Linked DNA regions of Ovis aries. The protein of the gene in region 2 purifies or fractionates together with the protein of the main gene of each other region. This does not show direct contact. Links are inferred from orthologs where the notes say so. Each region holds a gene or a part of one and is shown on either strand. Other genes may lie near its edges. The genes, in order: SNRPB2, SF3A2, DDX42, DNAJC8, U2AF2, SART1 and PLRG1.

The links.
Region 1: the proteins of SF3A2 (region 2) and SNRPB2 purify together in Homo sapiens (affinity purification with mass spectrometry; 6 studies listed by BioGRID and IntAct, with this or other methods). This does not show direct contact. The link is inferred for Ovis aries from reciprocal best matches to the Homo sapiens genes SF3A2 and SNRPB2.
Region 3: the proteins of SF3A2 (region 2) and DDX42 purify together in Homo sapiens (affinity purification with mass spectrometry; 3 studies listed by BioGRID and IntAct, with this or other methods). This does not show direct contact. The link is inferred for Ovis aries from reciprocal best matches to the Homo sapiens genes SF3A2 and DDX42.
Region 4: the proteins of SF3A2 (region 2) and DNAJC8 purify together in Homo sapiens (affinity purification with mass spectrometry; 3 studies listed by BioGRID and IntAct, with this or other methods). This does not show direct contact. The link is inferred for Ovis aries from reciprocal best matches to the Homo sapiens genes SF3A2 and DNAJC8.
Region 5: the proteins of SF3A2 (region 2) and U2AF2 purify together in Homo sapiens (affinity purification with mass spectrometry; 3 studies listed by BioGRID and IntAct, with this or other methods). This does not show direct contact. The link is inferred for Ovis aries from reciprocal best matches to the Homo sapiens genes SF3A2 and U2AF2.
Region 6: the proteins of SF3A2 (region 2) and SART1 purify together in Homo sapiens (affinity purification with mass spectrometry; 3 studies listed by BioGRID and IntAct, with this or other methods). This does not show direct contact. The link is inferred for Ovis aries from reciprocal best matches to the Homo sapiens genes SF3A2 and SART1.
Region 7: the proteins of SF3A2 (region 2) and PLRG1 purify together in Homo sapiens (affinity purification with mass spectrometry; 3 studies listed by BioGRID and IntAct, with this or other methods). This does not show direct contact. The link is inferred for Ovis aries from reciprocal best matches to the Homo sapiens genes SF3A2 and PLRG1.

The regions. Positions count from the first base shown.
Region 1 is NC_056066.1:10,387,102-10,391,173, reverse strand, and holds the start of SNRPB2 (U2 small nuclear ribonucleoprotein B''), read right to left. Parts: upstream 2,801-4,072; 5' UTR 363-2,800; intron 1-362. UniProt on the Homo sapiens protein: Involved in pre-mRNA splicing as component of the spliceosome. Associated with sn-RNP U2, where it contributes to the binding of stem loop IV of U2 snRNA.
Region 2 is NC_056058.1:19,186,462-19,189,565, forward strand, and holds part of SF3A2 (splicing factor 3A subunit 2), read left to right. Parts: intron 1-1,360; 5' UTR 1,361-1,399; coding exon 1,400-1,525; intron 1,526-1,923; coding exon 1,924-1,995; intron 1,996-2,799; coding exon 2,800-2,846; intron 2,847-2,995; coding exon 2,996-3,104. UniProt on the Homo sapiens protein: Component of the 17S U2 SnRNP complex of the spliceosome, a large ribonucleoprotein complex that removes introns from transcribed pre-mRNAs.
Region 3 is NC_056064.1:47,759,555-47,763,560, reverse strand, and holds the start of DDX42 (ATP-dependent RNA helicase DDX42), read right to left. Parts: upstream 2,801-4,006; 5' UTR 2,658-2,800; intron 1-2,657. UniProt on the Homo sapiens protein: ATP-dependent RNA helicase that binds to partially double-stranded RNAs (dsRNAs) in order to unwind RNA secondary structures. Unwinding is promoted in the presence of single-strand binding proteins.
Region 4 is NC_056055.1:238,878,598-238,882,664, forward strand, and holds the start of DNAJC8 (dnaJ homolog subfamily C member 8), read left to right. Parts: upstream 1-1,267; 5' UTR 1,268-1,298; coding exon 1,299-1,376; intron 1,377-4,067. UniProt on the Homo sapiens protein: Suppresses polyglutamine (polyQ) aggregation of ATXN3 in neuronal cells.
Region 5 is NC_056067.1:62,662,731-62,666,230, forward strand, and holds part of U2AF2 (splicing factor U2AF 65 kDa subunit), read right to left. Parts: intron 868-3,500; coding exon 788-867; intron 686-787; coding exon 563-685; intron 402-562; coding exon 303-401; intron 189-302; coding exon 1-188. UniProt on the Homo sapiens protein: Plays a role in pre-mRNA splicing and 3'-end processing. By recruiting PRPF19 and the PRP19C/Prp19 complex/NTC/Nineteen complex to the RNA polymerase II C-terminal domain (CTD), and thereby pre-mRNA, may couple transcription to splicing.
Region 6 is NC_056074.1:40,499,806-40,503,305, forward strand, and holds part of SART1 (U4/U6.U5 tri-snRNP-associated protein 1), read left to right. Parts: intron 1-385; exon of another isoform or gene 386-426; coding exon 427-553; intron 554-671; coding exon 672-777; intron 778-1,027; coding exon 1,028-1,105; intron 1,106-1,211; coding exon 1,212-1,311; intron 1,312-1,400; coding exon 1,401-1,543; intron 1,544-1,669; coding exon 1,670-1,876; intron 1,877-2,543; coding exon 2,544-2,668; intron 2,669-2,744; coding exon 2,745-2,878; intron 2,879-2,957; coding exon 2,958-3,091; intron 3,092-3,500. UniProt on the Homo sapiens protein: Plays a role in mRNA splicing as a component of the U4/U6-U5 tri-snRNP, one of the building blocks of the spliceosome. May also bind to DNA.
Region 7 is NC_056070.1:3,068,819-3,072,857, forward strand, and holds the start of PLRG1 (pleiotropic regulator 1), read left to right. Parts: upstream 1-1,239; 5' UTR 1,240-1,337; coding exon 1,338-1,346; intron 1,347-3,377; exon of another isoform or gene 3,378-3,379; coding exon 3,380-3,486; intron 3,487-3,771; exon of another isoform or gene 3,772-3,843; intron 3,844-4,039. UniProt on the Homo sapiens protein: Involved in pre-mRNA splicing as component of the spliceosome. Component of the PRP19-CDC5L complex that forms an integral part of the spliceosome and is required for activating pre-mRNA splicing.

The DNA.
Region 1 (4,072 bases), on a different chromosome or scaffold from region 2:
ATAAGATACAGAACATTAATGAAATTGGCTAAGAATCCTTGCATGGGTACTCTCATAAAGCACTTCCATATTATTGCTTAATTTACACACACCATCACCAACAGTCCTGATTCCAAAGTCAAATGGAACCGACTTGAAACGCTGGTATAGTACAGCATGATGGTTAAAAACTTAGGATCTAGTGCCAGTGGATTTGAATTCAAATCTTTCTATGCTTCTTACTAGCTGCTTGACTGATGGCAAGTTCCTTAATTTCACAGGTTCATATCTGTAAAATGGGGATGGTGATTTGCCCAATAGAGCTCAGAAGACTAAATGAGATAAAATTCTTTGCAGCTTTAGAATGAGCAGTAAGCACTTACAACAGCTGTCACTGCTGTTTATCACAGAATAAAGCACAGATTCCCAGGTGGCTCAGTGGTAAAGCATCGGCCTGTCAACGCAGGAGACGCGGGCCCGAACCATGGGTCACGCAGATCCCCTGAAGGAAATGGCAACCCACTCCAGTATTCTTGCCTGGGAAATCCCATGGATAGAGGAGCCTGGCGGAATACAGTCCATGGGTCGCAAAGAGTGGAACATGATTTGGCGACGAAACAAAAAGTTAATGCAAGTTCTTTCCCACGGTTACATAGGTGATACGCAGGAGGCCTGAAAATTCAACCCTCGTTTTCTGTCTCTTGCACTTTTATTTCACACCCACCACACTATTTCATTTTTCCCACTCTTTAGTCACGAACTGGGACCTTGCTTTATTCCCTGATAACCCACATATACCTTCATTTCACAAACATTTACACTCATAGTACTTGCATAGCGTAGGATGTCTGACAAGCAAAACGCCTACAGATGAGGACTGTTCTGTAGGTTAACAGGTGAAAGGTAACGCAATCCCAAAGAAAGGCAATGCCAAAGAATGCTCCAACTACCGCACAATTGCACTGATCTCACATGCTAGTAAAATAACGCTCAAAATTCTCCAAGCCAGGCTTCAGCAATACGTGAACCATGAACTCCCTGATGTTCAAGCTGGTTTTAGAAAAGGCAGAGGAACCAGAGATCAAATTGCCAACATCCACTGGATCATGGAAAAAGCAAGAGAGTTTCAGAAAAACATCAATTTCTGCTTTATTGACTATGCCAAAGCCTTTGACTGTGTGGATCACAATCAACTGTGGAAAATTCTGAAAGAGATGGGAATACCAGACCACCTGACCTGCCTGTTGAGAAATCTGTATGCAGGTCAGGAAGCAACGGTTAGAACTGGACATGGAACAACAGACTGGTTCCAAATAGGAAAAGGAGTACGTCAAGGCTGTATATTGTCACCCTGCTTATTTAACTTCTATGCAGAGTACATCATGAGAAACGCTGGACTGGAAGAAACACAAGCTGGAATCAAGATTGCCAGGAGAAATATCAATCACCTCAGATATGCAGATGACACCACCCTTATGGCAGAAAGTGAAGAGGAACTAAAAAGCCTCTTGATGAAAGTGAAAGAGGAGAGTGAAAAAGTTGGCCTAAAGCTCAACATTCAGAAAATGAAGATCATGGCATCCAGTCCCATCACTTCATGGCAAATAGATGGGGAAACAGTGGCAACAGTGTCAGACTTTATTTTTGGGGGCTCCAAAATCACTGCAGATGGTGACTGCAGCCATGAAATTACAAGACACTTACTCCTTGGAAGAAAAGTTATGACCCACCTAGACAGCATATTCAAAAGCAGAGACATTACTTTGCCAACTAAGGTCCGTCTAGTCAAGGCTATGGTTTTTCCAGTGGTCATGTATGGATGTGAGAGTTGGACTGTGAAGAAGGCTGAGAGCCGAAGAATTGATGCTTTTGAACTGTGGTGTTGGAGAAGACACTTGAGAGTCCCTTGGACTGCAAGGAGATCCAACCAGTCCATTCTGAAGGAGATCAGCCCTGGGATTTCTTTGGAAGGAATGGTGCTAAAGCTGAAACTCCAGTACTTTGGCCACCTCATGAGACGAGTTGACTCACTGGAAAAGACTCTGATGCTGGGAGGGATAGGGGGCAGGAGGAGAAGGGGACGACCGAGAATGAGATGGCTGGATGGCATCAAGGACTCGATGGACGTGAGTCTGAGTGAACTCTGGGAGATGGTGATGAACAGGGAGGCCTGGCGTGCTGCGATTCATGGAGTCGCAAAGAGTCGGACACGACTGAGCGACTGAACTGAACTGAACGCCTCTCAGAGGTTTGAGACCCCTAAACTGAATCTTGGTGGATTGGTGACTCGAAGACGATGAAGAGAAGGAAGTGACAGGGATCAAACTGAGCAGGGGCGCAGGGAGTCGCCTTCCGGATTCAAAAGGGGAGCCTCTGGGAGGTCCCTGAGAACGCACGGCGCGCGGTAATCGCCTCGCATACGCGAAGGTTTTCCGTAACTTCACACGCGCGAGGGTGCCGGCTCTCCAGACGCAGCGACGTCCGCCCACGGGCTCCGCCCGAAGCCCCAGGAAGCGGCCACGCCATGCCCGGCCCCAAAGTGTCCCGCCTAAGACAAGCTCTAAGTCCAGGGGCCTCGCCAGACCCGAGCGTCAGTTTCCAGGCCTTCCTCGGCGACCCACCACGCACCCTCGGCTGCATATATTCCGGCCCCAGCGCAGCGGACCGCTTATTCTCGGCTCCCGCAGGGGAAGGTCTGCCTAAGCCGCAACCCGCAGCCAGAAGAGAGGAGAGAGCGAAGAAAAAAACCCCGCCAACTCACCGAACAGGTCCTCTACGTCCCGTAACAACCACAAGCCAGAACCCGGAAGCGGAACCAGCCACCGGAAATGACGCTACCACGCACCTCAATCGAAAGCCGATCAGTCAAGAAGCCGAGCCCAGAGTGGATCGATGTCCGTCGGTCTAGACCACAGTAAGTAATCGCTCTGAGCATGCGCACACCTGGTGGATGGGGAGAACAGGTGTGAAGGGGAAACGCGGTAAGGGAAATAGGCCTGGGGGAATTCTGTGGGTTTAACTCGAATTCTGGGGGAGCGCAGTAAGAGTATAAGGACAGACGGTGATCAGTTCCGTCACCATGAGTTAGCGCTGTTTAACCTAGAACATCCTGATAAACACATCTGTGGGCTTCCCTAGTGGTTCAGACGGTAAAGAATCAGCCTGCAATGCGGGAAACCTGGGTTCGATCCCTGGGTTGGGAAGATTCCCTGGAGGAGAGGGCATGACAACCCACCCCGGTATTCTTGCCTGTGAAATCCCGTGGACAGAGGAGCATGGTGGCCTGCACTCCATGGGATGGTCCAGTTGGACACGACTAGACAGGACAAACACATCAGTAAGTTGAAAGCACTGTAAGATGCAACTGAGAACACATGTAATAACACCTAACTTACCCAGCATCACACATTTAATCCAGACCTATCACAAAGGTGCTCAGAACACTCACAGTAGCCTTTTTGTTGTTAAGCCACTCAGTCGTGTCCGACTCTTTGCAGCCCCATGGACTGCAGCACACCAGCCTTCCCTGTCCTGCAGCATCTCCTGGAGCTTGCTCAAACTCATGTCCATTGAGTTGGTGATGCCATCCAACCATCTCATCCTCTGTCATCCCCTTCTCCTCCTGCCTTCAATCTTTCCCAGCATCAGGGTCTTTCCTAATGAATCAGTACTTCACATCAGGTGACCACTGTATTGGAACTTCAGCTTCAGCATCAGTCCTTCCAATGGATATTCAGGATTGATGCCCTTTAAGATTGACTGGTTGGATCTCCTTGCAGTCCAGGGGACTTTCAAGTGTCTTCTCCAACAACACAGTTCAAAAGCATCAATTCTTCAGTGCTCAGCCTTCTTTATGGTCCAACCCTCGCATCCATATGTGACTACTGAAAAAACCATAATTTGACTAGATGGACCTTTGTTGGCAAAGTAATGTCTCTGCTTTTAATATCCTGTCTAGGTTGGTCATAGCTTTTCTTCAAGGAGCAAGCGTCTTTTAATTCCACTGCTTCAGTCACCATAGGCAGTGATTTTAGAGCCCAAGAAAATAGTCTCTCACTGTTTCCATTGTTCCTCCAAATGTTTGCCATGAAAT
Region 2 (3,104 bases):
GTTCTTCTGGCTGCTTATGAAGGAACTGGCTGTCCCCAAACTGACTGGAACTCTTGGCTCTGTTAGTGTTTTGCCTTTACCAGTTGATGGCTCTGGGTGGCCTTGTGTGTAGTAAAAGAGTTAGGCCTGGTGATTCTGCAGCCAGCTAGGTCACCCTACTGGTCACCCGACGTGAGGTTTTCATAAACTCATCAAGTTGTAGGGCAAGTTAGTGGCACAGCTGGCTGGTACAGGAAATCACCAGTGGCTTCCATGACATGAGTTTGCGCTGCATCTATGTGGTCAGAAACTCAGCACTAGTCTCACTGGGCTTTGTTCCCTCTGGAGGCTTCAGGGGAGCACCAGCTCCTGCTGAAAGACATGTGCTTTCCAGCTTCTGGAGGCACTGCATCCCTGGCTCACAGCCAGCAGAGCAGCATCTCCTGTATCTGCCTCTGACCCTCCCCCTCCCTCTTATAAGGACCCTATAATGACACTTGGCCCCCCCAGGGAATCCAGGGTCGTATCCATCTCAGGGACCTAACTTAATCCCACCTGCAAAGTCCCCTCTTCTGCGTGAGGTGACGTGTCCAGACACCCCAGGGAGCAGGACAGGTACATCTTTGGGGGTTCACACTCTTGGGCCCCATCTCTGTGAGCTTACCCTAACAGAGTCAAGATACTGTGGGTTTAAACCAGGGGCCTGGGGCCAGCTTTGACAGTAAAGAGAGTGTAGGATGAGAGGAAGGTACCCGAGGCTGGATCTGAACTGCACCTGGAGCAGTATGGGGAACAGTAGGAAATAGCAGTTGGATAGCTTGATGGGCATGGAGGAGAATCCAGGGCCTGGAAGAGTTGCCTCAGCTGCAAACGAGCTGTGACTGTCTCGTGTGTTAGGCAGTGGGGGTCGGGGGCAGGCAGGTAGACGGATGTGTTCCTTGTTCCAGCAAATGTACTGCTGAATCAGAGAAGTAGAGTTTAGGTTGCGGGAAGGAAGTGTAGACGAGCAGAAAAGAGATTCAGAGAAGGGGGTGAATGGTGTGGGCCTGGGCAGTTTGGGAAGGCTGCTTAGAGGAGATGGGACTAATTAGTGAGAACTCAGCCTCCTCTTCTCTGTTGTTGTTTCGGGTCCCTGGGTCTTTGCACTCCTCAGTCAAAGAGACCTTCCTCTCCGGTCCACCCCTACTGTCACCTGGAGATGCCTCGTTTCTCCTGTTTCTCCTTCCTCATCCCTGTGTGCCTGGCCCAGCATGGGCCCTCAGCCATTGGGAGACAGGTGGTGAAGCCAGGGCTGGGGCGGTGAGAGTGGGGAGAGGTGAGGCCAGGCCAGGAGGGTGAGATCTCACATGTAGTCTCACCAGCTGCCCCTTGGCCTCCGCAGGTTTCTCCCCTGGTCTGACAGAGTGCCCAGGGTCTCACCATGGACTTCCAGCATCGCCCCGGGGGCAAGACCGGGAGCGGGGGTGTGGCCTCCTCCTCTGAGAGCAACCGGGACCGCCGGGAGCGCCTGCGACAGCTGGCCCTAGAAACCATTGACATCAATAAGGTGTGCGCCCACCTGCCCACCCTAAAGCAGCAGCTCAGCGCCCTCCAGACCATGGTCTCCCCAGGCCTGGGGTTGGCCTGCCTGCTTCTCTCCTCTGCCCGCGCCCAGCTTGTACTGCAGCACGAGGAGCCCTGTCCCGGCTGGGGAGTTGGAGGATCAGCAGTGCACCTTCGGCTCTGCCTCTTCCTAGATCCCAGGCCACCACTAATGTGGGGCTGGGGGCTTTCAAGGGAGCCCTCTCCGGGGCTTGCTGCAGAGGCGGGCGGTCAGCCCCAGCCCTAACCCCGTGCAGTGGACCCTGTGGGATCCCAGGGGCGGTGGTGCTGGCTTGGGGCTCCAGCTTGTCCTCCATCCCTGAGCGTCTCCCCCACTGCCTGACACATGTGTTTCTTCTGCAGGACCCCTACTTCATGAAGAACCATCTGGGCTCCTATGAGTGCAAGCTGTGCCTGACGCTACATAACAATGAGGTGCGTTTTTCCCAGGGAGGTACTGGCTTTAGAGCCCCGCTGTGCCATCTCCGCCCTGCACGGCACTGGGACAGCCACCGTGGGGTCCCTACCTCCATCTGTCAGTTTCCTGTAACATCAGTGGCTCCGACATCACAGATGTGCATCTGTACATGTGGGGATGTCCAGGATGTCCACGTGGGGCGAGAGGTCTGGAAGGCATGGCTTCTAGTTTGAGTCTTTAAGCAAGTGTCAGTCGGATGCTTGCTTGCATTGGGTTCCTGTCCTTCGCCATAAGCAGGTCCTCTCTGTCCTTTCCTGTGTAAGGAGGGCGCACTTTCTGTCCAGATGGTTCGCAGCTCCAGACAGCTGCACTGAGCTGAATAGTCTCGTATGGGAGCATCTCCCAGCGGTTTTGAGGCTCCCCCTTCTCTTTGGGGGACCATCCTGGACATAGAGTCCCTGGAGGTCAGAAAAGCCTCCAGTTGGAAACTGCTGATACACATGTTTTCTTCTTGGGACATTATTGAGGTGGAATCAAAGGGCATGTTTATTCCAGGTGTCCCCACCACTGCCCAGCAATATCCACTGGCCCCACCCACATCCTGGCAGCCACAAGACTGCTGTGTCCCCCCGACCCGAGACTCTCATCTCTGGCTTTTGAGCATCTCGTCCCCCTGTGTGCAGATCCACGAGAGCTCATGTGTTCAGTAGCCACCGGGTGCCCGTCAGCACTGAGCCCTGTGGATGGAGGCGGGCCCGGGTGGGACACCGGGCACCACTCCCTCACTGTGCCCTCAATTGCATGTTCCTCTCATGTTCCAGGGGAGTTACCTCGCGCACACCCAGGGGAAGAAACATCAGACCAACTTGTAAGTACCTGGCACCCCTTCCCATGCCTGCTGTCCCCCTCACCTCACATCTCCAAGGTCGGCCGGGGATGGGCGCTCCTGGCGCCTGGGGCTGTGGCCTTGATGGCCTGTGAGGAGGGGCCTCAACACTGTGTCCGTCCCACCTGCAGGGCCCGGCGAGCAGCCAAGGAGGCCAAGGAGGCCCCCGCCCAGCCAGCACCGGAGAAGGTCAAGGTAGAAGTGAAGAAGTTTGTGAAGATCGGCCGCCCAGGCTACAAA
Region 3 (4,006 bases), on a different chromosome or scaffold from region 2:
TTTTTTTTCCTCTTCTGTTTTCCAGAGAATACACTCATCATTCATGTTTACTCAACGTATAGGAGACCTAGGGAGATTCACAACTTGGCCAACCAGAAAAATTAAAGACAGCATAAAGTATCAATACCTGCTTGGTACTGTTTTAGGCACTAAAATGTGATTTAGTAGAAAATCTTAACAGCACAGTAAAGCAGCACAGACCGTGGAGCCAAGCTGCCTACGTTTAAACACTGGCTTTGCCAGCTAACTTGATGCGAACTTCATGGAAGTTATTCAGCTTCTCTGGCCTTACTTTCCTCATCTATAAGATGGTGAGACTATCACCTACTTCATAGGGTTGGTGTGAAAAACTGAATTCACACACAAAAATACACCTGGAACAAAGCTTGGCAAATGGTGCACAATGCGTACTAGCTGTCATGTTTTATCATTTTTTTTTTTCTTTCCAGAAATCAATCTCTCCATTGGTTAATGCAGAATATCAAGTTAAGACTTCTCAAGTTTCTTTCGACTTAGAGATTCCATACCTTGGTGCCACATGACACTGAAGATGTCAGAGATCACTACAAGTTGACAAATGGGGACAGGCTTCAAAAGAGAGCTAGAACCCAGAAGATTAAGTTGTTTTTTTTTTTTTTTTTAACACAGAAAGATATAAGCTGAGTAGAGAAGCATGATGCAAGGAGGAAAGCTAGAAACAGCAAAGTCTAGGAAATTAGAATAAGTGTAGGAACACAAGGAAGATAATTTGGCTAGTTTATGTTTTGAGAAATAGTGGAAAATAAGATCCAAATGACTTTAAGAATAGTGGACTAAAAACTAATGATTATAAAATGTTACTTTTTCGTTATCATTGTGTTTTTGGAGTACGAGAAAGATTTCTAGTGACAGTTGATCACCGTCTACTCTATCTAACAATCTGCCTTGAGAATAACTCACACACTATAAATCTGACTCTTTACCAAGAATTTGTACAAAACCCAAGAATTCCAACACATTCTTCTAAAGCCAAAATAAGTAAATGCTAGATTACACTTGTTTTGGAAGCATCTCTTTTCCCTCTGCTGGCTTAAAGAAACTAAGAGCTGATTACATAAAGATGTGATAAAAACTAAAACATAAAGAACTGTACTCTTCCACAAACTGCACTAAATTATTAACAGTGTAAGTCAGATTTTACCATTCCCCTGCTCAAAACTCTCAGTTTCCATCTCAGGCAGAATAAAAATGAAATCTTCACAACAGCCTAAAAGGTCCTGGTTGTCTGGTGCTCCCTGCAACGCCTTGTTCCCCTCCCTGACCTTATCTCCTAATAATTCCTCCTTTTGCTCACAGTACTCCAAGCATGCTGGTCTTCTAACTGTTCCTCTAACAAGCCAGCATTGTCCTCTTCAAGGTCTTTATACTTGCTGGTTCCTCTGCCTGGAAGGATCATTCTTCCAGAAACTAGCTGGGCTCACTCCCTCACCTCCTTATCTAGTCTGCTTAAACATCAGCTTGTCTGTAAACACTTCCCTGACCATGCTGTTTAAAAATGCAACATCTCCCCATTCCTCTCTTCAGCTTTATTTTTTTTTTTTCACCTAAGGCATTAATCATCTTCTAACTTACAGTATAATTTACATATTTGTTTTCTCTCTTCCCCTCACTACAATGTTTCAGGAGGGTCGGGTCACAAATCAAGCACACAGGTAGGGAACAGGCACACAGAAGTTATCAACAAAAATATTTCTTGGGTGAATGAACTGCATATTAGGCCAGAGTATGTCTCTTCTGGGTACAGGAAAATACAACATACATTTTTTTTCCTTAACCACTTAAAGTCTCAACATGAATTTTGGTATGAAAGACCTTCCACTGGGCTTGGCTCTGGAAAGTTAAAGCGAATTAAAACAGAATCTCTGCTCTTTAGGAGTTCGGTGGTGTGTATACAGAAAATAGATATATACAAAGATCATTCACAAAAAACCAAAATGTATGGGAAGCCAGAGGAATCTGAATGACCGCCCAAAGGGGTGAGGGGGCAAAGCTTCCGCTAAGGTGATAAGAAAGCTACGATTCCCCCGAAGTCTCGACAAGTATGATCTTTCTTCCTTATATTATTGGTGCCCTAAGCTTGCAACTCCATATAAATTATTTACCCACATCAGAAAGGCTCTTTAGCAGGCAGCAGAAAAGTTTTGTGAGGAGGCTGATGCTAGTCACAGATACACTCAAAGCTACACAAAGATCACAGACTATGCCTTTCACTGTCTTCAGATTTGGCAACTTTGGCCTGGAAGGTCCCCCGATCTGGAAACTAGCATCTGTTAACTGCTGCTGGCTCGGGTCAGAATCCTCCCCGTGCCTATGCCTCCCGGAGCCCAGCACCCTGCAAATCGCTTCCCGGACGGGCGATCGCCGCCTCCGTAAAGCCGCCAACTGGGCCTCATTAAGAGTTGTGGGAGAAGCGGGAGCCGTAGGAGGGCGACGAGGCTTCGAAAGGCTCCTCGAGTCTTCAGTCCCGCACTCCTACCCCTCCCCGGGCCCCTGCGCCTCGGCTTCCTGGAAGCTCCGCCGACTCTTTGTTAAGAGAGGCCGCGGTTCCCTGGCCCTCACTAGGCCCCGCAGTTGCCTGTGGTGCCCCCAAGGGGTTACGGCCCCGCGTCCAGACCCACCTCACGCAAACCTGCTGCTGTGGCTGCAGAGGCAGCTGTTGCTACCGCTGACTCGGAGAGAACCTCACGGCCCGAAGTACGCGCGGTCCAGGCCCCGTCCCGCCGCGCTCCTCCCTCTCCGCCCCCTTCGCTGCCGCCGCCGCCGGCGCCGCCGCCACCGCCTCTTGGCCCGTTGCTGACGGAGGGGGGAGGGGAACAAAACCGGACATGCGCAGTGCGGAAAGCGCGGGCGAAGGGCGGAGCCTGGTCTACGGCTCCCGGAAGGCGCCGCGGGCTCTGGGCCTTAAGGCTCCCGGATACCGCACAGACCCCTCAGACTCTTACAGCCATTGCTTCTGAGTGAGGAGTGTTCATGGCCCGTATAGGGAGTGGGTCTGGGAGTGAAGAAAAGTAGTAGTGGCAGGGAGCCGCCAAAAAAAAATCCCCCAAAAGGGGCTCGATTGGAAAACACATGCACATGAAATTGCCGATTCCCTAAACTCTGCTCCTTAGCAAATACGACCTGGGCGACATTTCTCCCCGTGCCCCTGGACACGTGGTCTTGTAGAGCATGGTGACTTTTAACTTCCGGAGCAGGGGTTCAGCGTGATGACAACTAGACTGAACCCTAGCGGAGAGCACTGGGATAGGCGCCGGCAGCTCCGGCCCAGGGGCGGTGCTTATGTAATTCTCCCGGCCGCCCCACCTCGCCTCATCTTGGGGGGGAGCAGGCGGTTTCGCGCAGTCCCCAGGGCTGTGTCCCGGCCCCGTGCCGCGCGCAGGCGCGGGCAGGCCTCACGCATTCTACGTAACGGCTGGCGGAGGCTACGTGAAGAGTGGCGCGGCGTGACTGAGCTGCCTGGTCAGGCTGTGTCCTAGAGGCGTCGGGGCAGTGAAGTCGCGTTGACCCTGCAGGCGGTGGCCGGGACCAGAGGCTAGCGGGATAGAGGCGGCGGCCGCAGGAGCAGCGGGCCGGGTTCTAGCCCCCAGTGCAGGTAGGGCGCGGGCCGTGACGCGCTGGTCGGTGGGGCCTGGCCGGGCCGAGCGGTGACGCTGAGTTGCGTGGCCTACCCGGGTCCCTGTTCCCAGTCCAGCCCCTAAGTCCAGCCTTTAGGTGACATGCTTCGATCCTCGCGCCTTCTCGCCTTTCCCGATTTTCTTAAGAACATACCAAACTTTGTCCACCCCAAATCCCTGTTTTCTGTTGGGAGTTCTCTTCGGGATGGCTTTAACGGTTTTGGGCAACTTCCAGAACTCTGAGCAAATGCCAACCCGCAGAGCAAAGTTGGAGCGGGCAGCAAGAATAATGGAGCAGAGAACTAATTCTCCGCGTTGGGGAGAGATTAGACCCAGCTGGTTTGACAGACAGA
Region 4 (4,067 bases), on a different chromosome or scaffold from region 2:
GTGAGGATGTGGATAAATTGTAACCCTCCTACATTGCTAGTGGGATTGTAAAATGGTTCAGCCACTTCGAAAAACAGCTTGGCAGTTGCTCAAAAGGTTAAGTATAGAATTATCATATGACTCGCAATTTCAGGGAGAAGGCAATGGCACCCCACTCCAGTACTCTTGCCTGGAATATCCCATGGGCGGAGGAGCCTGGTGGGCTGCAGTCCATGGGGTCGCTAAGGGGCGGCGGACACGACTGAGCGACTTCACTTTCACGCATTCAAGAAGGAAATGGCAACCCACTCCAGTGTTCTTGCCTGGAGAATCCCAGGGATGGGGCAGCCTGGTGGGCTGCCGTCTATGGGGTTGCACAGAGCCGGACACTACTGAAGCGACTTAGCAGCAGCAGCAGCAGCAGCAGCAGCAATTTCAATTCTAGGTACATACCTCCCCCCAGTAGAAAACTGGTACTCACACCTTCATAGCAGAACCATTTTACAATAGCCAAAAGATAGAAACAACCCAAATGTCCATCAACTGATGTGAATAATGTCATCAATTAGTGAATAAACTAATTGTGGTATACACGTATGATGGAATACTATTCAGCCGTAAAAGTGATGAAGTAATGGTGTGTGCTATATTTTGAAAGAACCAGGGAAACATGCTAAGTGAAAAAAGCCAGACACAAAAGGTCACATGTTGTATGACTGCATTTACATGAAACATCCAGCATAAGTAAGTCCATAGAGACATTGGCAAGTATGGGAAGAAACTGCTTATTAGGTACTAAGTGTCCGTTTGGGGCGATGCAACTGTTTTGAAACTAGACAGGTGGTGATTACACAATACTGGGAATATACTAAAGACCACTGAATTGTTCACTTTAAAATGGTTAACTGTATGGCATCTGTGCATGCGTGCTAAATCACTTCAGTCTCCGACTCTCTGCGACCATATGGGCTGTAGCCTCAGTCGTGTTGTACTCTTCGTAACTGTAGGCCGCCAGGCTCTTCTGTCCATGGGATTCTCCAGGCAAGCATGCTGGAGTGGGTTGCCAGGCCTTCCTCCAGAGGATCTTCTCAACCCAGGGATCGAACCCCTGTCTCATTATGTCTCCTGCTGCTGGTGGATTCTTTACCACTATCGCCACCTGGGGAACCCCAATTTAAAAGTTTATTTAAAGGTACCTGGCTGGGCGGCGACCCCTTTAAGAGACGCAAGGAAAGGGCCGGGGTTAGAGAGGCGGGCCTGTAAGAATCACGTGAGGTGGCGCCTGCGCAGAAGAGTCACGTGGTCGCTGGGCCGGGGAAATGGCGGCTCCAGGAGAGAGCGGGGCTTCGGGTGGAGGAGGCAGCACGGAGGAAGCATTTATGACCTTCTACAGTGAGGTAAACACGGAGTGAGGAATGGCGGCACCGGGGCGACCCCGCCCGGGGCTATCCTCCCAGTGGGAGAAGGCAGTGATCCTCCTGGCCTGGACCGTTGGGCGGCCCCTCCTGTCTGGCCTTTTGGGAGGTGGGGGACTCGGGGTGTGTGTGCGTCTCCTTCTGATACTGCAGGGGGGATCCCCTGGAAAACTAAAAGGGGGCGGGGGTCTGACGTCTGAGGGGAGGCGTCGAGTTTGGCCAACGAAGTGCTTGGGCGCGCGCAGAGTTCCCCAAGTTCGCGTAGTCGGATGCTTTCTGCGGCTGGGAAAGTGGGTCTGCCTAAGGCTGGTTAAACGGGTTACCGGTCCCCGATTGTATTCAAAACGGAAGCACTCTCTCCTCTTAGTCCTCTGTAGTGAGTTTTAGTAGTAGTTATTTCTGACATTCGAGAACGCTAGGCATTGTGCATCATGCCTTGTAGGCACTGTCTCCATTTTACAGATGACATACCTGAGGTTTAGGGAGGTGAAATAATTTGTTCAGGGTCTTAGAGCAGATGATAGTTTGGTATCATGTTAGGACCGAAGTAAGTTTGGTTTGAGCCTCATTTACTGTCGCATCTCCATCGGGTGCTGCGCAGTAGTTACTCAGTGAATATTTGTTGAGTGGATGAATGAATGAGTGGATGAATGAATAAAGAAAAGGATGGCTCTTGGAGTCATAGGACCTCGGGTTGGATTTTTGCATGGCTGTTAACGTGACTGTGACAATTCTTTCAAGCCATTGATTTTGCTAATCAATTTTCACGTTTGTAGAACGAAGTTTTTTATTAAAACGAGTTTTAATGAGCGTTAAAAGAAAGTTTCATAAAATATAAAGAAGAAGCTACTTTGTAAAAGTTAAAAACAAGGCTGGATGTGAACTTCTTTAGCTTGGTGTGGATTTGAGGAATGGAGTTGCTCGCCACCTGGCTGTGATGTATTCAGAGTTAAGCACCGTGTTACATTCACCTTTTATCTCTGGTATTTGTAACAGTGCTTGCTACATAGTTGGGTTTCCCTAGTGGCTCAGACGGGGAAGGCAGTGGCACCCCACTCCAGTACTCTTCCCTGGAAAATCCCATGGGCGGAGGAGCCTGGTGGGCTGCAGTCTATGGGGTCGCTAAGAGTCGGACACGACTGAGTGACTTCACTCTCGCTTTTCACTTTCCTGCATTGGAGAAGGAAATGGCAACCCACTCCAGTGTTCTTGCCTGGAGAATCCCAGGGACGGGGGAGCCTGGTGGGCTGCCGTCTGTGGGGTTGCACAGAGTCGGACACGACTGAAGCGACTTAGCAGCAGTGGCTCAGACTGTAAAGAGTCTTACTGCAGTGCGGGAGACCCGGGTTCCATCCCTGAGTCGGGAAGATCTGGAGAAGGAAGTGGCAACCCACTCCAGTATTCTTGCTCGGAAAATCCCATGGATGGAGGAGCCTGGCAGGCTACACCATGGAGTCCGACAGGACTGAGCGACTTCACTTTTGTTACATAGTAGTTTCTCCGAAATAATACATTTTAAAACAACATAGTACATCCATTTATAGTCTACTTTCAAAATGTCTCATTCACTTTGAAGTGTTAATTTGCTGGTACCAGTGTTTTCTGGTGGCTCAGATGGTAAAGAATCTGCCCAGAATCTGCTGGTTATATGGAAGACCGGGGTTTGAACCCTGGGCGGGGACGGTTCCCTGGAGAAGAGAACGGCTTCTCTCCAATATTCTTGCCTGAAAAATTCCATGGACAGAGGAGCTTGGCGGGCTACAGTGTGTGGGATTGCAAAGAGTCAGACACGACTGAGTGACTAACAATAATGGGTACTGAACAATTATAGGGGAACTTGTTTTAATTTCTTAGTTTTTTTTTTTTAAAGCAGTCCTGGTTTGTTTAAATTTTAATGTCAATTTCATTTGTGAGCTGTATTGCACAGATGACTTTTTTTTTTTTTTTTTTTTTGTGGGACGGAATATTTTCTCCTGGGGGCAATGACTTATGACTGTTTTGCGGTAGTTTGCGCTCGTCTTAGCTACTCGTGGTTATGAACAGAACGGTTTTCATGAAATGAGTTACATGCTCATGGGCTATGGGTTTCATATTAGGTACTGTACAAACATCATGGGTGTCTGATTTTCCCTTTTGTGGCCCCATTGAAATGAGCCATATCTCTTAGGAAACTCCAGCAGTGCTAGAGCTTGCCCTGCAGACACCTTTTTTTTTTAAATCTACATATTCACTGGCATGGTTTGTTTAATGAGAGAAAATGTCTAAAGGAGGATCATTTAATCATCATTCAACTAATGTTTATTGAGCACCTGATATGCACTTCGTCCTGTATTGTTTAGCTCCTTGGAGAAATGGTAGTTGACAGCAGAAAGAAGAATCCCGTCTTCATAGGGCTTTCATCTTACAGAGAAGGCTGAATAATGAACAGATGTATAATATAGTGTTAGGTAGTGCTAAGTGCTATGAGGAAAAATGAGACTGGGAAAAAGAGAGTACGGTCGAAGGTGGGGAGTGGCGTGCTGTTTTACAAGAGTTAAGAGGGAAGGTGCTGAGAAGGAGTAGCTTTTCCTGTTATTGAAATCCTTTCCAACTCTGTTTTGGCCATAGAAATAAAGATAGTATATATACTATGCCAGAGGTTCATTCCAACTAAAATTTCAGTTCTGACAGTGG
Region 5 (3,500 bases), on a different chromosome or scaffold from region 2:
AGCCCATACTTGCCGCACTCATCTCGCACATCCTCCACGATCTCCTCATACTCCTCATCGTCCAGCAGCTCCTCAGGCAGCACCATGTTCATCAGGCACAGCACCTCTGTCGGGTGCCCGCCCATCTGCACCTGCGAGCTCATCAGGCCGGGCACTTGCAAGGTCACAGGGGTCTGGTTGATGGTGCTCTGTGGAGGGGTGGAGGCAGGGGTCACGGGGTGCCCAACCCCGGTGTGGGGGGACCCGCCAGCACCCAGCCCCTCCCCGCCCCCAGTGCCCCGAGCCAATGGAAGATGACGTGCCAGGGGGCTCACCAGCGTGGCATTCTTGGCGCCCACACTCGCCCTCTGGACCAGCAGCTTCTTATCTCCCAGCTGCATCCCATTCAGCCCCGCGATGGCCTGTGGTGGGGCGGGGGAGGGGCCGGGGCAGGGAGAGGTGGTCGGGGTCAGAGCAGGCTGCGTGGCAGACAGGGCACGGCAAAGGGGGAAGAGCTGCAAGCCCCGCGCCCCGCCCTGAGGGGAGACCCCAGCAGGGCCGGGCGCGCTGGGGCCGGGCTCACCTGATCCGTGACGTTGATGTCCACGTACTCACAGAAGGCGTAGCCCTTGGAGAGTCCGGTGGCGCTGTCCTTGACCAGGTTGAAGGCCTTGAGCGGCCCAAACGACGTCAGCAGCTCTTTCACCTGCGTGGGCCGGGGCACAGTCAGGTTGCAGGGCGGGGCAGGGGGTGGGGGCCGGGGGTCGGGCCACGGTGCCATCAGTTTTCGGGGCAGGCAGAGGCCTACCTGGTCGTCATTCAGGTAGTTGGGTAAGCCCCCGATGAACAGCTTGTGCGCAGAGTCCGGGACCACGGTGGACACGACTCCTGGGGGGAGGGGAGTAGAGCAGACAGGTTGCGATTCCTGGCACGGTCATGACGGGGACCTGGGGGCTGTCTCCAGGGGGGCCCGCCTGGCTGCCAGCCCCCTCCTCACGACACCCGACACCAGCGGGCACAGCCGCACGATGGGCCAGGTCAGCAACCACACTCGCCCCAAGCTGGGGGAGCTCTCAGCCCCCAGGGAGGGTCGCAAACCACGGCCTCCCCTCCCCCTCGGGCCCCAGCTCAGAGCTCCTGCCCCCCCACCCCCTAACCAGGGCTCCCCAGGGGCCTCAACTCCCCGGGCCTGCCCACCCCCATGCCTCTGGGCCAGGTCCCGTGGGACCTCGGGCCCAGTGTTCTATGTACGTGAGGCTGGGCTGTGCCCACCCCGAGCACTGAGCTACGTCCGGTGGGGGCCCCTCAACAGAGCAGGCCTCAGGACTACCAGGCACCCACTGGCCACACCCCCTGCTGAGCGCCCCCGCCCCCCAGCCCACCAGGCTCTGCAGCGCTGTCCTCCAGCCCCCGGGGCCCACACCGTGGCCTGCTCCTGACTGCTTTCAGGGCCCACTGCGGCCAGCCACCTGGCCTGGCCCACCTCTTCGACCCAGCGCCGGTAGCCCGGAGGACCAGAGGGGCAGCGTTCCGCCCGGAGCAAGGCTCTTGGTGGGGGAAGCGGGGGCGGATGAGAACAACAGGCCGCCGAACTCCAGGCGGCCCAGCACGGGGAAGGGCAGGCCGCGTCCCAGCCACCACCAGCCTGCCGTGCTGAGGCTGCCAGGAGGGCCCACGCCAGATCGAGCGATGCAGACAGAGGCTCTGGGCTGGCGTGGGTGCCCAGAGCCCCCATGGGCTCTGAAGCCTCCCTAGGCCCCGCAGCATCGCCACCGCCTCAGCAGGAGCCCTAGCTGCCCAGCTACTGGCCTGGCCTGCAGACACCACCGGGCCACACAGGTGCACGGCCACAGGCCGTGCCCCTTCCATCCAGGGTCCTGAACTGTTTCTTCTCCAACCAAAAGCATCTGTTGAATTTTACTAAGTGCGTCTCCCTGGGGCTTTCCAGGTGGCTCAGTGGTCAAAAATCTGCTTGCAATACAAGAGACCTGGGTTTGATCCCTGGCTCATGAATATCCTCTGCAGAAGCGAATGGCAACTCACACCAGTATTCTTGCCTGGAGAATCCCACAGACAAAGAAGCCTGGCGGGCTACAGTCCACAGGGTCGCAAAGAGTCAGACAGGACTAAGGGACTATCACTTTCACCCCTTCAATAATCTGTGAACTCGACTTCTTCGTTGGAGTAGAAAGGAAAATCAAAATATTGTGTTTAGGATTTGCCTGGTGGTCCAGTAGTTGGTCCAGTAGTTAAGAATCCACCCACCAACTCAGGAGACAAGGGTTCGATCCCTGGCCCGGGAAGATCCCACTTGCCTCGGGGCAACTAAGCCCACAGAACACAACTGAAGCCCAAGCGCCCTCAAGCCCCACACGAGAAGCCACTGCCACAAGAAGCATCGCAACTAAGGAGAGTCCTCAAGCAGCAACAAAGACTCGCACGGCGAAAATTAAATAAAAAAAAAAAACTCGTCATTACAGAGAAACTTCTCTGGTTTGAGAATGCTTCACCCACATGCAGCATCTGGCTTCCTACCCCCTCCACAGCCCAGGAAGCACACTCCCCAGTCACTGTGGCTGGAGCCCCAGCCCTCCATGGAGACTGGAGGCAAATACTAGGAGAGGAGACCCGCCACAGTGAGAGCCAGGCTCCCACAAGGGAAGGATGACAGGCAGGCCTGCGTACAGGGGTGAGGCACCAGCTCTAACCCTGTACTACAGGACAGTCACGACACCACCGCACCCACAGGGAACCCCCAGATGGTGCCTGGCATGGCAGGCTTGGGCCAGCCTGCATCAACAGGATGGTTAGGACGCATTTGGGTCACCAGGAGGCACCGAAGCACATCCTGTGGCCTGATCCCCCAGACACACGTGCACAGAAAACACGGCAAATCAGCAGGTCAGGGCCTCCCACAAGCTCCAGAGACTGCTGGCCTCCCCCACACGCTCAGCAGGGACCAGAGAGGAGCCAGGTGGTCCCCAAGGGCCGCCCTCGTTGGGCCCCGCACCCCTGGCTTCATAAGCACAAGGACTGCTTCCAAAGCGCGCCCTTCGGTGTGAACCTCAGCTAGGACAACCCGTGCTCTCAACCCCCGGGGGCGGGGATGCCCCCAACACAGGCCCACCCTCGGCATAGCCTGCAGGTCCGGTGCAGCCATGTGCTGCTCCTGCCCGGTCTGAGGACTTTCCAGAAGGGCCTTTTATACCATGAGTGTGACAGGGCCCCCGACGCCAGCATCTGTGAGCATTCGGGCCAGAGTGACCGAGGAGCTCCACCAGAGACAATGTGCTGCAAAGCACAGCAACTCTCTGGCCCATCAGAGAGCAGCCTCTGGCCACCCAGGTCTGCTTCGCTGTCCACCTACCCAGACGGCACTGACCACGGCAGGGAGACCTGCTTCAAGCCAGGGGTCAGCGGAAGCCCCGAGACAGGAGAGCAGGGACAGCCGCCCGTCAGGCCCGAGGAGGAGCTCCACGGGCACGTGGGCGTCCACATGGGCTCTGGCGCGTGCACTGACC
Region 6 (3,500 bases), on a different chromosome or scaffold from region 2:
TCCTGTGTGGGTGCTGGCTGTGGCCTTGGGGTTTCCTTGCTGCTGTGATGGGGTTTGGGATTCGGCTGCTTGTTTAAGCTTGAGCAATTGACGTGGCAGCCTCAGTATGGCTGCGAGGTAGCGTTAAAGGGACCAAGAGATGTGCACAGTGCTGCACACTCATCTGCGCTGTGCACGTGTTGGGTTTTTTTTGTTTCAGTTTGGTTTTTTAAAGTATGACCAGAGGGGCTTTGGAAGGCATGGAGGGTCCCCTCTTCTTGGGGGGGATGTGGGAATGTGGGGTTGCCGGGGATCAGGAGGCAGAGGATTCTTCCCTTGCTTCTGGCTTCTCTGGCCCCCTGAGTGGGACGGGGCAGCGTGAGTGGCTCCCTCCTTTCCCCACCAGCCTTGGGCAGGCATAGCCTCACGCCTGGGCCTCCCTTCCAGAGGCGGGCACCAAGGAGGAGCCCGTGACAGCCGATGTCATCAACCCCATGGCCTTGCGACAGCGAGAGGAGCTGCGAGAGAAACTGGCAGCTGCCAAAGAAAAGCGCATCCTGAACCAAAAACTGGGGTGAGGGTCCCCGCCAGGTGGGCTCAGGCAGAGTCTGAGGAGGCACCCCGGAGATCTGGAATCGGGGTCGGGGGAGCAGGAGCTGGTTCTCCAGAGGATCTTTCTGCTCTGTCTTCAGGAAGATTAAGACCCTGGGGGAGGATGACCCCTGGCTGGACGACACCGCGGCCTGGATCGAGAGGAGCCGGCAGCTTCAGAAGGAGAAGGACTTGGCAGAGAAGAGGGTGAGGTGCTGGGAGTCACCCAGTGCCTCTGGTGGCCTGATGGCTGGGGGGCCACAGACGGGCCATGGGGACGTGAGGTGGGGGCTCAGAGCAGTGGGAGGCCTGTGCTCAGTGGCGCCTGCGTTGGCTTCTCAGCAGCTTGCTTGTTTAGGTCTGTGCTTTTTGCATCCCCACTTAGTAAGGCCCCACATCTTCCGGTGATCCAGAACAGCTTGAGGTCATAGGTCACCGCCCCATCCCTGTCCCGTAGGCCAAGCTGCTGGAGGAGATGGACCAGGAGTTTGGTGTCAGCACCCTGGTGGAGGAAGAGTTCGAGCAGAGGCGGCAGGTGAGGCTGCGGCAGCTGCAGGGAGCGGCCGGGGAGGCTGCTGTCCCAGGTGCTGGGATCCCTGGGCGGCGTCCAGACTGGGCTGCGCTTTCTGCCCTGTCTCTAGGACCTGTACAGCGCCCGGGACCTGCAGGGCCTCACCGTGGAGCATGCCATCGACTCCTTCCGTGAGGGGGAGACGGTAATCCTCACCCTCAAGGACAAAGGTGGGTTGCGCTGGGCAGTCTGGCTGGGGGCCCAGGCCCTGTGGGTGGAGGAGTGTGACCGGCTGCCACCTTCTCCACTCCGTCTGCAGGAGTGCTGCAGGAGGAGGAGGACGTGCTGGTGAACGTGAACCTGCTGGACAAGGAGCGGGCGGAGAAAAACGTGGAGCTGCGCAAGAAGAAGCCCGACTACCTGCCGTACGTGGAGGACGAGAGCGTGGACGACTTGGCCCAGGCAGGCCGGCAGCGTGGGCACCGGGCAGCGGGTGTTGGCAGCAGGCGGGTGGTTTGGGAGGAGATGGTAGCTCTGTGGCTATTCAGGAGCCAGACTGCATTCCAATCTGTCCTTCTTGCCTTGCAGCACAAACCTCGCTCTATCCTGTCCAAGTACGACGAGGAACTCGAAGGCGAGCGGCCGCAGTCCTTCCGACTGGAGCAGGGCGGCGTGGCTGATGGCCTCCGGGAGCGGGAGCTAGAGGAGATCCGTGCCAAGCTGCGGCTGCAGGCCCAGTCCCTGAGCACGGTTGGACCACGACTTGCCTCTGAGTACCTCACACCAGAGGAGATGGTGAGTCCTGAGGTCTTCGTCCAGACCTGCCCCTCCCTCTCCTCAGGGGCCACAGGCTGCCAGAAGGCACTAGAAGGGGGATCGGGTAATCGCATGGTACTTGGTCCCTGTGGATGAGCAGTAACCGGCAGCCCCGAGGAGGCAGCCGGTGTAGACAGAACAAGGACTGTGAGCCAGGTGCCCCTGAGCTGGTGGGCAGGCCCTGCCACATCTCCAGCCTATGCCTGGGGTGTCATTTAACTGTGAGCCTGAGGCTCCTCCTCTGAAATGGGGGTGGCAGGAGCCCCCTCACGGGGACTGTTCCAAGGGCTGGTGGTGGTCTGGTAAGCGGTTGTTTTGTAGGGTGTCACCTTTGGGCTGCTGTGTGGACACGCAGGTAGACCTCTGGCTCAGTAGGTTGCTTGCCTCTGTGGTTGAGAGCAAGACTCTGGAACCAGTCTCGGGGGATTTCACTGTCCTGGCTCTCCTGCTTAGGAGCTGGTGACTTTGCACAAGATACTTAATCTCTTGCTGCCTTAGTTGTCCTCATCTCACAGATGGGATGATGGTTACTCACGTCTCACTCACGTGTGTGAACTGCTGCATAGCAGCAAGCAGTGTCCACTCCTGTGGGCTTGTGCCGCCTGCCTCCGCCTGCCCTCAAGTCTCTCCTCTCTCCTCCTTTCAGGTGACCTTTAAAAAGACCAAGCGGAGGGTGAAGAAGATCCGTAAGAAGGAGAAGGAGGTGATCATGCGGGCCGATGACCTGCTGCCGCTTGGGGACCAGACTCAGGATGGGGACTTCGGTTCCAGGTGGGCTGGGAGACAGCTGGGTGTGGGGGCTGGGCCGGCCCTGGGGCCAGCCTCACAGAGAAGCCTCTGCCCGCAGACTGCGGGGCCGGGGGCGGCGCCGGGTGCCTGAGGCGGACGAGGAGCCCCAGGAGGAGGGGGAGAAGGAGCCCGTGCCTCAGCCGCCACCGTCAGATGACACCCGCGTGGAGAACATGGACATCAGTGATGAGGGTGAGGGCCCGGCCTGTGGGGTGCGGGACCCGAAGAGCCAGGCGGTGGTCTGAGCGGGTGTCTCCTGTGTCTCCCCCAGAGGAGGGCGCTGTGCCGCAGTCTGGGTCCCCAGAGGTGCTGGAGGAGGACGAGGCGGAGCTGGAGCTGCAGAAGCAGCTGGAGAAGGGGCGCCGCCTGCGGCAGCTGCAGCAGCTGCGGGACAGCGGCGAGAAGGTGAGGGGGCTCCGGGGATTGGGCGCGGGCGGGCGCTGGGGCCCACGTGACAGGTGCGTCTGTAGCCACTTGTCCTCGGGGGCACGCGGTCCCACGCCGTCACAGGCGGTCTCCGTGTTCTGGTCTGCACCCTCTCTGTGTTCCACGTCGTGTTACTGGTGGGTTTCTAGGTTCCTGCCGTGCTTTCACTGTGGGATGCTTTAGCGCTTCGTTGTTTGCATTTTCTTTCCTTCTGGGCTGTGTGTTGCCTCGCTATGAGTGAGGCGTCATCCTAGGGCTGGGAAGTCCCTGGGGGAAAGGACAGCCAAGGGCTCCTCTGATTTTCATGGGGCAGAAATGGCAGTGACTTGTGAACACGAGCAAGCTGAGTGGTCTCTGCTGGTGGCAGCTGTGCAGACAACACAGGAGC
Region 7 (4,039 bases), on a different chromosome or scaffold from region 2:
CTCCAGGGGATCTTCCTGACTCATGGATTGACCCAAATCTCCTTTATCACAGGCAGATTCTTTTACCGTGTGACCCACCAGGGAAATGCCCTTAAAGCCAAACTTACACTCAAACTCAGAGATGACTGTATTTTCAAATACATGTATGATCTTAACGTTTATAATTAATTAAAAATTAATTTCTAAATGAGATGAACAACTCACATTGCTATACTTTGATAGATTTTTCTCCCTGTTAAAGCGGGGTGCTCTGGTGAAAAGATCTGCAGAAAGTGACTATGGTTAAAGAACAGGAGAGCCAGTAAAACGTTCGCCTATTCAAATTTGCAAATATCCAGTTCCATCAATTTTTCTTCTTACCTAGTAATATAGGTACAACAATCACAAACTGCAGTCTACCTGGGTATAAAACAAAATGCCCATCTTTTGGCACCAGTCTGTATATATTAATACATAAAAATGCCTTGTCTTCAGTTGTGGTTTTTTTCTACCAACTTTGGCCAACTGTACTCTGGCATTGTTGAAGCCACATTTATCACTGGACAACTAGCAAACAAGAGTTATGCCAAGAGTTTTGAGAGATTAAAATTTTTAAAAACCTGTATTAGTGGAAAATAAAGGAAATGGCCAAGAATTCTGAGAGACTTAAAAAAAAAAACAACTATGGAAAATAAATTTGAGATGTTGCCACATGCTATTAAAACCAAAATCTTTTGCAAAATTTCTCAAATTGAAACTGTTCCAACAAGTGCTTAATGGACAGCATAAGTGGAATTGTTTCTGGGCGCCAAGAATACAAAGACGTCTAAAGGCTTTCAGCCGAACTGAGTGAAATAGCGCAATCTGGCCACGTATATCACGGAGGCGCCCCCTCAAAGAAGGCAAGAGCGTGTAAGAGCCTTCCCGCGCTCTCCGGAAGTTCCCTAGAACTGTTGGTTTGTCTGAAGAAATCGTTTTACCATTCCAGAGAACAAAGGGCAAGCAACCACAACCGTAAACCAAAGTATTTAAGGCTGTGAGTAAGAAAACGTTTCTGTGAGCAGAAAACGTTACTATCTCAAGATTTCTGCAAGAGCAAGTGAAACACGCCCTCACGCGACTCCAGCATCTTCCGCTTTGCCGTCCAGAAGCTCCTCCCCAGAGGCGGCCGGGGAAGAGCCCGTTGCTTCACCTCGGAAGGCCTGCGAGCGCCTCGTGCGCCTGCGCGGGGCCCTGCGTCACATCCGGGCCAGGAAGCGCAATTCCGGAAGGGGCTGAGCAGTCGTGGCGGCGGTTTCTGTCCTGTCTGTTGAGTAGTGCTTCTTCCCTGCTGGAGCGCCTGTATAGACGGCGGAGCCATGGTCGAGGTAAAGTGACACTTGGGTGCTCAGGGGCCGTCTGCTTCTGGATTGTTTTTCTTTGGCCGCGGGCGTGGGCGATCGAGGGTTTGGGAGTGTGGGAACTGGAGAGAGTAGTGGCTGCGAAGGGAGGCTGTTTGGCCGAGACCGGGTGGTCTCGTAAGGTTTTCTGGAGGAAGAGAAACCAGAGTTGTGAAGTGAAGCGAAAGTCGCTCAGTCGTGTCCGACTCTTTGCGACCCCATGGACTATACAGTCCATGGAATTCTCCAGGCCAGAATGCTGAAGTGGGTAGCCTTTCCCTTCTCCAAGAGGATCTTCCCAACCCAGGGATCGAACCCAGGTCTCCCGCATTGCGGGTGGATTCTGTACCAGCTGAGCCAAAGGGAAGCCCAGGGAATACTGGCGTGGGTAGGAGTGGGTAGCCTTTCCCTTCTCCAGCAGATCTTCCCGACTCAGGAATCGAGCCGGGGTCTCCTGCATTGCAGGCGGGTTTTTTGTTTGTTTGTTTGTTTGTTTTACCAACTGAGCTGTGAGGGAAGGCCTTCCAGGCGGGAAGCCTGAGGCAATTACTCCAGTTTTCACGCGGTCCTTGGGTACGGAGTTCGTCACGGAGGCGGGGCATTTATTGAACATCGATGTTTGACCACAGGTACTCGCCGTCTGCTCGGTAGTCAGTGACTCTATGTCCTCACTGGTGGTCTCCTCTCATCTCACTTTGTCTCCTATTTAAGCTCTTTTCCGGGAAAACCTGCCATTCTTGAATTTTTGCATTTCCCCCTAACTATCATTCTGTTAGCAAGCTCTGTTCATCTCATCTCAGAATTCTGGGCTCTTTGTCTAGGCCCACTGTCCTCACCTGAATTCAGACCGCATCATCTTCCACCAGCTGATGCATTTGCTTTTAGGTGGTCGGTCTTTTTGCTTCCGCGTTTGTCATCCCTCTCCCTTCCGCACCAAATTGATCTGTTTAAAACCTAAGTTGATCCAGCTTTTCTTGCATGAGACTTTAGTGGCCCTATGTAAAACTAGAGCAAAAATGCACACTGCTGCAGTGGTATAAAAAACAACTTACTGGGACCTGGTCTGTCCTTACAACCTCATCTTCCATCATGAGCCCTCCTTTTCGCCTAACATATACTATGTTCTACGGCTTCTGTACTGTACATTATGTACTACAGCTCCTGGCAGTATTTCAGTTACAGAACGCTTTTGTATATGGCTTTTTCTCCTTGTCTCGATTTTTTTTTTTTTTTTTTGATTGATTGATTTTTTTCAGTTTCGCTGGGTCTTCGTTCCTGCTCTTGGGCTTTCTGCAGTTGCAAGGAAGGAGGGGCTACTCTTCATTGCGGTGCGGGACATTCTCATCGCGGTAGCTTCTCTTTGCCGAGCACAGACTCGAGGCGCATGGGCTCCTGTAGTTGTGGCGCAGGGACTTTAGTTGTTCTGTGGCCTGTGGATTCTTCCCCGACCAGGAATGGAACCTGTGTCCCCGCACTGGCAGACAGATTCTGATCTGCTGTACCACCGGAGAAGTCCTGCCTGGATTGTTCTTACCTCTATTTTGTGCAAGACTGATTCCTTCTCTGCTTAGCTGCCACCTCAGAGAGATCTTCCATAACCAGCCTAAGGTCTTGCTCTGTTCTGTCTCAGTCCCCTGCTTGTTTCCTTCATAGCAATTATTAAAATTGCTTACCCTATTTTTATCTGTTTCCTCTTGAGCACAGGGAGGTGGCTGCCTTTTCATTATTCCTTTGTTAGTTTCTAGCACAGTACCTGGCACTCATTTAATGGGAACTCATTGTTTATTGAACATATGACTGATTTCAGGCATCATTCAGTTGGTATACTTGGGGCTGTGGCCCAAGAGAAGCTTCCTCCTCTTCTCTGAACTTGTCTCCTATAGCTTGTTATAAATAGCTGTGGTGAGTGGTACAAAGTTTTACATATTTAAAGGTGTAAAGTTTATAATTAATTTGCTTCAGTTTAGATTATGATGTATGTAATTTGTAGCTAGGTATGTAATTACACTCTTTCTTTTTAGGAGGTGCAGAAGCATTCTGTACACACGCTTGTGTTCAGGTCATTGAAGAGAACCCATGACATGTTTGTGGCTGATAATGGAAAACCTGTGCCTTTGGATGAAGAGAGGTAGGGATAGTTCCCTTTCAATTGCTAGAATGTTTCAACTTTTAATAATGGGGGAAGAGAGCAGGGAGAGGGGAACCTTTAAAAATTAGTGAGTCATACTAACTCTTAGGAGATCTATTAGTAATGAATGATGTTTTGGCATAATTTAAGCTGATTTAACTTTTCTTTTTGGCTTTTTACAGAAAAATTCCTATTAATTAATTGCATTTTACAAATACCCAGTAATTAGGAGAGTCCCTTTTAGGTGTTATATTTTATAATCAATCACTTTGTATGTGCTTTCAGCTTCCTGCTGCTCTCAGAGCCTTGCTGAGCTGAAATTGTACCTGGCCAGTACCTCTACTCCCATCTTTTCTCGTTAGTATGATGAAGATTCTTGAGTGGTGGCATATTTTTGGTTCTACATCTCCAGCTCCAGTCTGAGATTGCATTATGTGCAGTGTTCCTTCTTTGTCCTTTACCCTTCTTTTAAAATCTACCTAATTCCTCAAACAAGCATTTATAATTAATTAACAAAGTGGGCTGTCCTTAAAAGTAGCATAGTACTTGCATT